3 linked regions of the Kluyveromyces lactis genome follow. The protein of the gene in region 3 purifies or fractionates together with the protein of the main gene of each other region. This does not show direct contact. Links are inferred from orthologs where the notes say so. Each region holds a gene or a part of one and is shown on either strand. Other genes may lie near its edges. The genes, in order: RPS3, KLLA0_A04730g and SRO9.

What was found.
Region 1: the proteins of SRO9 (region 3) and RPS3 purify together in Saccharomyces cerevisiae (affinity purification with western blotting; 3 studies listed by BioGRID, with this or other methods). This does not show direct contact. The link is inferred for Kluyveromyces lactis from reciprocal best matches to the Saccharomyces cerevisiae genes SRO9 and RPS3.
Region 2: the proteins of SRO9 (region 3) and KLLA0_A04730g purify together in Saccharomyces cerevisiae (affinity purification with western blotting; 4 studies listed by BioGRID, with this or other methods). This does not show direct contact. The link is inferred for Kluyveromyces lactis from reciprocal best matches to the Saccharomyces cerevisiae genes SRO9 and TIF4631.

The regions. Positions count from the first base shown.
Region 1 is NC_006040.1:705,106-707,526, forward strand, and holds RPS3 (40S ribosomal protein uS3), read right to left. Parts: upstream 1,234-2,421; coding exon 520-1,233; downstream 1-519. Other genes in the region: SHR3 (Shr3p), read right to left, coding at 1-100. UniProt on the Saccharomyces cerevisiae protein: Component of the ribosome, a large ribonucleoprotein complex responsible for the synthesis of proteins in the cell.
Region 2 is NC_006037.1:422,340-426,100, reverse strand, and holds the start of KLLA0_A04730g (uncharacterized protein), read left to right. Parts: upstream 1-1,172; coding exon 1,173-3,761. Other genes in the region: proteasome regulatory particle base subunit RPT6, read left to right, coding at 1-491. UniProt on the Saccharomyces cerevisiae protein: Component of the eIF4F complex, which interacts with the mRNA cap structure and serves as an initial point of assembly for the translation apparatus.
Region 3 is NC_006039.1:93,352-96,839, forward strand, and holds SRO9 (Sro9p), read right to left. Parts: upstream 2,058-3,488; coding exon 567-2,057; downstream 1-566. Other genes in the region: ATG22 (Atg22p), read right to left, coding at 1-251; KLLA0_C01232g (uncharacterized protein), read left to right, coding at 2,966-3,488. UniProt on the Saccharomyces cerevisiae protein: May overlap in function with tropomyosin and may be involved in organization of actin filaments. Acts as a multicopy suppressor of RHO3 mutation. RNA-binding protein which may modulate mRNA translation.

The sequences.
Region 1 (2,421 bases), on a different chromosome or scaffold from region 3:
CATATGGTTGATTAGAAAAGAAGATCCCCATCAAAAAAGTAGTTGATCCAATGATCAATGCTGTACCTACAGCACAAAAATCCTTATAAGTTAGGCCCATATTTACTTTCAGTCAATGTGTTTAGTGAGCGATACCTACGTTCTCTTAAAAATGGAACGTATAGACCCTACGTGTGGTATTAAATGGTTAACAATTCATCTATAATTGAGCCATTGGTTTTTTCAGTACGCACTATATATTCTCTTTTTTTTTAATAATTTACATGATTTTTGCCCACCGAATTTTTTTGATTAGTATGAAAGATAAAGGAACTGAAAGGCGGAAAGGCATTATCGGAAGGCGCTATCGATAAATCATTTTAAAAATCCATTGATAAAAGCAGGACGTTTTAATCGATGTCATCTGGGCATAGATTACTTATTTTTAAAAGAATTGATGAGTTTCTTAATATTTATACATATAAGAACGGTATTTAATAGACTAATTAATAATATAGAATCAAACAGATATCAATTGATTTAAGCAGATTCAGCAGCTTCAACTGGTTCAGTTGGTCTGTAATCCTTGACAGAAGGTTCCAAAACTGGTTCTTCTTCCTTTGGTTCGATGATGGTAACAGCATCTGGCAAAGCCTTTGGACCAGAGGTGTTTCTAGATGGGTCCTTCATGATCTTAACCTTAATACCCAAAACACCTTGTCTCAACAAAACGTGTCTGGTAGCGGTTTCAATGAAGTCGTTGACTGGTTGACCGGAGTGGATCAAGAAACCGTCAGCGAACTTCATGGACTTGGCTCTAGCAGCTCTCAACTTACCGGAGATGACAACTTCACAACCCTTGGCACCAGATTCCATAACGTATCTGACAACACCGTAAGCAGCTCTTCTGATGGCCAAACCGTTCAACAATTTGAACTTCATGGATTCAGCTTGAGCAACAGCGGACAAACCACGGTCATGGACTCTTTCAGCGTATAAAGCAATGGTACCACGCTTGTACTTGAATCTCTTTTCAATCAACAAGGTCAATTCGTTGATTCTTCTACCATTTTCACCAACAACATCTTGAACCTTAGTAGCTCTGATGATAATTTCGGTCTTGGTTGGAGTAACTCTGACTTCGACACCAGAGTAACCTTCTTCAGCCAATTCTCTGGTGAAGAATTCGTTCAATTCGGCGTAGAAAACACCGTCAGCGACAAGCTTTCTCTTCTTGGAGATAATGGCAACCATTTTTACTTTATTTGTTCGTCGGGGAGCTCGAAATTATAGGTGATAATAAAACTAACTAAAGTAAGTATCTTGTATGTCCAATGGCACTTATGTTCATAATGAACCAGATTGTAAAGCGATGATGAGAACAATATTCGTCAAACCGTCCGAATCGCTGCGATTGGTATGGTGAAAATGAAAAAATCATCTGAAAGACAGTATTTACTCACCAACACATGTGGTGTATGGGTTAATGCTTCAGATAAATGAACATTTTCAATGAGATAAGTACCCAAAATGGCAATGCAGAAAAAATTGGAAAAAAAACTAAAACAAAAATGTCCGGGTGAGCAGTCCCAGGAACATATATTTTCAAGTCACCTGGTAAGCGTAGAAAACTCGCCGTAAACAGAAAACTTCAAGACCGTTCCTCCATTTCCTAATGGGGAAGTTCCTAAATAGGATTTATACGCGAGATGTTCCACCCCCTGCATTGGTTTATGTGAATACTCGAGAGCCTTGTGGTAACTCGCATCACTTAGGAAACAGACAACACAATTGTTTCAACGAATAATAAAATGGGAAATAACATAGGAATTCCAGACAATGTTGCAATCACGGCGTGTCACAGCTGCATACTTGTTATTCCGAAAAGAAAGTACGTCAATATTGACCGGGTTTTAGCAGGTATATGACCCAATATTGCTTCGGGTAATTACAGGATGCCGTTTCGTTTTCTCTCTCTCTCTCTGTTTCTCACAATTTGAACGAAAAAAAAGAATAATATTGGGAGCCAGTACACCTGCAGAGGGTACAGCGAGCACACTCGAATATACGGAATGTACCAGAAATGCCTCAACCTACCTACCCACTACAATCCATTATAACAACTACCTTTTCATGTTCCTAGTAAGTTTTCCCTAAGGCCAAAAAAAAAAAAAGAAAATGAAAATCAGCTACTTGCTCACTCGAAACAAGCACATCGATTGGTGCAACTTGTGTGAATAAAAAGAAAGAACCATGTAGGTAGGCAGCTCATTTTGTAAATGGTTTTCTGAGATGTTCGGACTCCTGCACAGCCTTTATAATGGGCCAATCAATTCCACTTTGTAACTTACTAGTTCACTCGTAGATCCTTTTACTGGTTGCCTATACAGTTTATTCCGTCTACCGCACAAAGCACAAAACTGCGCTATTCACTCCATTTCC
Region 2 (3,761 bases), on a different chromosome or scaffold from region 3:
CTATCATTTTCATGGACGAAATCGATTCTATCGGTTCCAGTCGTGTTGAAGGATCTGGCGGTGGTGATTCCGAAGTGCAAAGAACCATGTTGGAATTGTTGAATCAATTGGACGGGTTTGAAACTTCGAAAAACATTAAAATCATCATGGCTACAAACAGATTGGATATATTGGACCCTGCATTGCTAAGACCAGGTAGAATTGATAGAAAAATCGAATTCCCACCACCAACCGTAGCGGCTAGAACAGAGATTCTAAGAATCCACTCAAGAAAGATGAACTTGACCCGTGGTATTAACCTAAGGAAAGTCGCCGAAAAGATGAACGGATGCTCTGGAGCTGACGTTAAAGGTGTTTGTACCGAGGCTGGTATGTACGCACTAAGGGAACGTAGAATTCACGTAACCCAAGAAGATTTTGAACTAGCCGTGGCCAAGGTCATGAACAAGAACGACGAAACTGCTATCTCTGTAGCAAAATTGTTCAAGTAAGGATCCTTCACCCCTTTCATCTCAAACAGCGCATATCATTAGATACATCCCTACATATTATACATAAGCCACGTACAACACACGCCTGTGGTTGTACCCCCGTGTCAATATGTTTCTAATCAGATCCTCTCTTTTTCCCCCTCATCGCATCTCATCTCGTCATAAACTTGACCATCATGTCAATCTTCTCAATATACACGAAAGAAGAAAAAAAAAATTTTTACATTGTAAAGAGGAAAAGCTGTGAATCTTTTGAAATAAAATTTCAACCTTTAAGCCATTGAATTTTACCATTACGATAGCACATTTTGCATAAAACAGGATAGAGGAAAAGAGGCACAGAGAGCTACTGCTGATCTGATAGTCAATAGATTTATCAGCACTTGTATTGTTTGAATTGTTAGAGAGTAACAGTGGACAGTAAAGAAACAAATCTGGGAAAAAAAGAATCTCACAAGAAAGTGATAATTTTTTTTTGTTCTTCGTTTATTTGTTTAAAGAGAAAGAGTTAAGAATTGGACTTTAATTTCATTCTACTCATTCGTGTTTCTATATAACTCGACTCGTTTTCTCTAGGTACTCTGGATTACTCGGTTACAAGAGAGAAATTAAACAGAAAAGAGCTTAGATCCAGCTAATTTCATCTGAAGAAGAGAGAAAGAGCGGTTTTTCAAAGCAGATATGGGCGAACCTACATCCGATCAGCAACCAGCTGTTGAAGCTCCAGTTGTGCAGGAGGAGACAACCAGTTCTCCGCAAAAAAACAGTGGATATGTCAAGAATACTGCTGGAAGCGGTGCTCCTAGAAATGGGAAATATGATGGTAACAGGAAGAACTCTAGGCCTTATAACCAAAGAGGTAACAACAACAATAATAATGGTTCTTCCTCGAATAAGCACTATCAAAAGTATAACCAACCAGCGTACGGTGTTTCTGCGGGATACATTCCGAACTACGGCGTATCGGCAGAGTACAACCCTCTGTACTATAACCAGTACCAACAGCAGCAACAGCTGTACGCTGCTGCTTACCAGACTCCAATGAGCGGACAAGGTTATGTCCCCCCAGTAGTGTCTCCAGCTGCTGTTTCAGCTAAACCAGCGAAGGTTGAGATTACTAACAAGTCTGGTGAACACATAGATATTGCTTCCATTGCTCATCCACATACTCATTCTCATTCTCAATCTCATTCGCGTGCAGTTCCAGTAGTGTCGCCTCCAGCTAACGTTACCGTCGCTGCTGCTGTATCATCCTCTGTGTCTCCATCAGCTTCTCCAGCTGTCAAAGTACAGAGCCCTGCTGCTAATGGTAAGGAACAATCTCCAGCTAAGCCTGAAGAACCAAAGAAGGACACTTTAATTGTGAACGATTTCTTGGAACAAGTTAAAAGACGCAAGGCTGCTTTAGCTGCTAAGAAGGCTGTCGAAGAGAAGGGTCCTGAGGAACCGAAGGAATCTGTCGTTGGAACTGACACTGATGCAAGCGTTGATACTAAGACAGGGCCTACAGCCACTGAATCTGCCAAGTCTGAAGAAGCTCAATCAGAATCACAAGAAAAGACTAAGGAAGAGGCTCCAGCTGAGCCAAAACCATTGACTTTGGCCGAAAAATTGAGACTTAAGAGGATGGAAGCTGCAAAGCAAGCTTCTGCTAAGACCGAGGAACTAAAGACTGAAGAATCTAAGCCTGAAGAAACAAAGACCGAGGAGCTAAAGACTGAAGAATCTAAGCCTGAAGAAACAAAGACCGAGGAGCTAAAGACTGAAGAAACAAAGTCCGAGGAACTAAAGACTGAAGAACCTAAGGCGGAAGAATCAAAGGCGGAAGAACCAAAGCCTGAAGAACCAAAGACCGAGGAACCGACGACTGAACAACCAAAGTCAGATGAACCAAAGTCGGAAGAATCAAAAACTGAAGAGCCAAAAACCGAGGTATTAAAGACTGAAGAACCAAAATCGGAAGAATCAAAGCCTGCAGAACCAAAGACTGAAGAAACAGCAACTGAAGAAACAGCAACTGAAGCAAACGCCGAAGAAGGTGAACCGGCTCCTGCTGGTCCCGTTGAAACTCCTGCTGATGTTGAAACAAAACCTCGAGAAGAGGCTGAAGTTGAAGACGATGGAAAGATTACCATGACCGATTTCCTACAGAAGTTGAAAGAGGTTTCTCCAGTTGATGATATTTATTCCTTCCAATACCCAAGTGACATTACGCCTCCAAATGATAGATATAAAAAGACAAGCATTAAATATGCATACGGACCTGATTTCTTGTATCAGTTCAAAGAAAAGGTCGATGTTAAATACGATCCAGCGTGGATGGCTGAAATGACGAGTAAAATTGTCATCCCTCCTAAGAAGCCTGGTTCAAGCGGAAGAGGCGAAGATAGATTTAGTAAGGGTAAGGTTGGATCTCTAAGAAGTGAAGGCAGATCGGGTTCCAGGTCCAACTCGAAGAAGAAGTCAAAGAGGGATGATAGAAAATCTAATAGATCATACACTTCCAGAAAGGACCGTGAAAGATTCAGAGAGGAAGAAGTCGAAGAGCCAAAGGTTGAGGTTGCCCCATTGGTCCCAAGTGCTAATAGATGGGTTCCTAAATCTAAGATGAAGAAAACAGAAGTCAAGTTAGCTCCAGACGGAACAGAACTTTACGACGCGGAAGAAGCATCAAGAAAGATGAAGTCATTGCTGAATAAATTGACATTAGAAATGTTCGAACCTATTTCTGATGATATCATGAAGATCGCTAACCAATCTAGATGGGAAGAAAAGGGTGAGACTTTGAAGATTGTCATCCAACAAATTTTCAATAAGGCCTGCGATGAACCTCATTGGTCATCAATGTACGCGCAATTATGTGGTAAGGTCGTTAAAGACTTAGATGATAGCATTAAAGACTCAGAAACCCCAGATAAGACTGGTTCTCACTTGGTTTTGCATTACTTAGTCCAAAGATGTCAAACTGAATTCCAAACAGGATGGACTGATCAACTACCTACAAACGAAGACGGTACTCCTCTACAACCTGAAATGATGTCCGATGAATACTATAAGATGGCTGCCGCTAAGAGAAGAGGTTTGGGTTTGGTTCGTTTCATTGGTTTCTTGTACCGTTCGAACTTATTGACTTCCAGAATGGTCTTCTTCTGTTTCAAGAGACTAATGAAGGATATTCAAAACTCTCCTACTGAAGATACTCTAGAGTCTGTATGTGAACTTTTGGAAACAATTGGTGAACAGTTCGAAGGTGCTCGTATTCAAGTTACT
Region 3 (3,488 bases):
ATGAACCATCTTCCATTAAACATAGGTAGTACGCACTTATCATCATTCACTTCGCATCTGAGACTATGATCATCCAATTTAACACCGTTAATCCTACCAAACTGTTCTAACAATAATGGGACATACGTGGAAACAGCGCTGACTATGAAGGGTTCACTTGAGAAGCAATAGAAATACCATCCCTTGATATTACGTTTGGCTTGATCAGGTATAAAAGCCGAATTCTCGGCAGGAACTGCCTCATAACTCATCACGACGCAAGTGTGGTGTTTGTTTTCGAGCGCGCTGTGGTTAGTGTTTTGGTGTGGTAATGCTCGACTGTCTAAACTAAACTGTTTCCCTTGAAACGTCCTCGAAATTAAAGGTTTTTTTTAAGTGAAGAGAAAGAAAGCATTTCACATAACGACTATTTTTACGCAAAGCAAATATTAAAAAAAAAAGTGGAAGTTGTTTGATTAACTGTGTGTGTATATATATATGTTATTATGTGGATGAGAGCTTGATTGTTAAATATAATATGCAGTGAACGGGTAGAAAATAAAAAGAGTATATTTGACAAGGGAACACTATTGTACAGAGACTTCTTGGTTTTGATTTTCTTGATTTTCTGAAGATTCTTGTTGATCTTGATCTTGGTTTTGCTCGTGTTTTTCAGTAGATGAGTTTGGTTTGAAGGATGGTAATGAATCTATTATTGGGTTGATTGGTTCAATTTTAAATAGCTCTAATTCATCGCTGACGAATTCAACGGTGTCGTAAGATTTTGGTTCAGAAATGGATTCGTCAGCAGTCCAAACTTTAGAACTTAATGCATACTGGAACAAAGGATTCCCAACGACATTTTCGAAAGGTTCAGTCAATTTAGCAATGTTGACATTGGAGTTTTCAGAGTTTTTCAATTCTCGTAATGCAGCTAGAATCAATCCGACATCGCCGTAAGATAAGTTTAGCATACGATGGAATCTTGAGATCAATGCCAATGGAACGTAACCTTGAGCATTCATTTGCGATTTTAAGAACATATCTTTGCTCAAGTTCTGTATGCTGAAATAATATTGGATTTGACGGACAATCTCATTAACCAAGACGTACGATGGGGTATAATTCTGTTGGTACATTACAGGAGCGTACGAACGTTGACGTTGATACTTTGAACCATGGTAATGATTCTCATTATTATGGTTATTTTTGTTATGCTGGTGGTGGTACCCATGACCATGGTTGTTGTGGTGATTTGCGTTTCTTGGGTAAAATGGCTTAGAGTTAGGAGTAAAGCGGCGTTGCTGGCTTTCAACTTTCTTACCATCAGTTTCAGCAGATGGTGGAGCAGATATACCGTTTTCGGAAGAAGCTTCAGAGTTTGAACTGGATGCCGTTTCTGGTCTCTTGTCCGCTTGGTTAGACTCTTCAGTATATCCGTTTTTAGTGATATCAGAAGAACCCGAGGCAGAAGCAGGAGTAGTTCCATTGACAGAAATCTTTTCGTTGGTGCCATTCGAGCTCGATGTCTTGTTTGTCTGGCGATCCTGCTTCTTTGTTGCTTTCTTTTCGCCTTCAGAGTCCTTTTTGGGCTTCGCGGTAGAGTCTTTACCCTTGGTCTTTTTGGCAACCTTTGGCTTATCCTTCTTGGTCTTATTTTTCAGTTTTTTACCCTTACCGCCATTAGCATTACTGACATCAGGAATTTTGTCTTTAACAGTGATATCCACATCTAATGGAACCCATCTTTCCTTACCGGTCAAAGACGGAGTACCTTTACTACGAGACTTGCTAGAACTGGAGACTTTCTTATTTTTAGCCGCAACAACCTTTGACAAATCTAAAGGCTTATATTCAGTGACACCGGTCTCTTCCCAAGGAGACTTTTTTGGCAAAGGTGCCAACACTAACTTCGGCTTTTCTCCTTCAGAATCAACACTGGAAGATTCTACATCATCATTAGCAGTGGCAACAGTAGTGTCGTTACTACTGGCAGTAGCAACCTCAACTGAAACAGCTTCAGTTTCATGCGGAGTATCAGTAACAGGAACAGTGGTAGTTGTAACAGTTTCGGACATATTGTTTCTCTAACGTTTTCTCTCGTTCCTTCTATATTCTCTTTCAAACAACAATCTGATGATGACTAAAACACTCTTAAGCCAAATTTCAATGCAGTTATATTTGCTTTCTTTACGTGTCGGATCAAAACTTAGAACTAACACTTACTAAGACAACTCCAAAAAAAATGAGTGCAGGAAATAACTTAATGTAAAAGCTTTTTATCAATGCCTTTGGTTCTGTCAAAAAAAAATAGTACACCGCTTACACAGAATTATACTTGCCTTGGCTTGTTCACAATATAGTGGTGGAAATATAGTATTAGTCTTCCAAGAGGTTACTGGTTATATAATTTGTTCATATCTCATCGCATATCTTTTGTCAATGATTTTTCAAAACTGAAAAAAAAAAACGAGAAGCGAAGAGCATCAGTGAGCAAAGTTAGCTTCAAGAAAGAAAAAAGTGCGTGGTGCGGTGTAAGGGTTTATCGATTTTCTACCCTGATAATATGTTAGAGTTTACTTCACTCATACAACCAAAGGAAAACGTTACTGAGATGTGAGCATCAGCGGAGGCAATTGAGGCTCGTTGTTGTAAGAGAGAACACTATTTGACATACTAGGTACTGTTTAGATGATTGCTGCTGTACTAAGTTGAAATTTTGAAGTCAAATGAAAAAAACATGGGAATTTAATCACAACAGGTGTTTCTTTAGGCAATTAAGATTTTAAGGTGCGCGACAATTCTGCTCAGCTCAAGACGATAAATCACACAAAGAATACATTGATAAATTGAGCAGTATCAGATTCACATCGAGGAATTAAGCGGTATTATTTACTTACTATTTCGTTGTGTTAATCCAAAGATCTATATTCGTCGAACGAAAGAACCACGGAGAGAATATAGGTGTTTTAAGTGTGTGCAGGTCATGTCAGACATTGATTTGGATTCTTATTATGAGGCACTAGGCGTCAAGACTCCAGAAGAAATATTGAAAGATTGGGAAAGGACCTCTCCGCCAAGAAAATTCGGAGACAATTCAGAAGAGATCCAGTATAATGGGTACGTCAGAAACCAACTAGCTGAGAAATTGGTGGCATTGTACCTTAAAGACCTCGGAAGCATTCTCAAGAAAACATACATCGCACAGAAGAAGTCCCATGTAGCTTTAGTTCAACGTTTTGAGGAAGAGGTCTTCAATACATGTCCTTTCCATTCAGATGTAACCCCTTCTGATGCTTTACTCTGTGATCGGATTCGGGATGCGGCCAAGCCAAAATTGCAATGTTATCCTGGTAGATCAGAATGGAAAAAGTGGAAGAATGCAATTGAATGCATCAACTTAAAGAAGACTATCCTATTTTGTGTGGATTTAGAGGCTTACGAACGAGATACAAATATCGTAACAGAAATCGGTATTACAATTTACGATCCTCGAGAAAATTTTGACC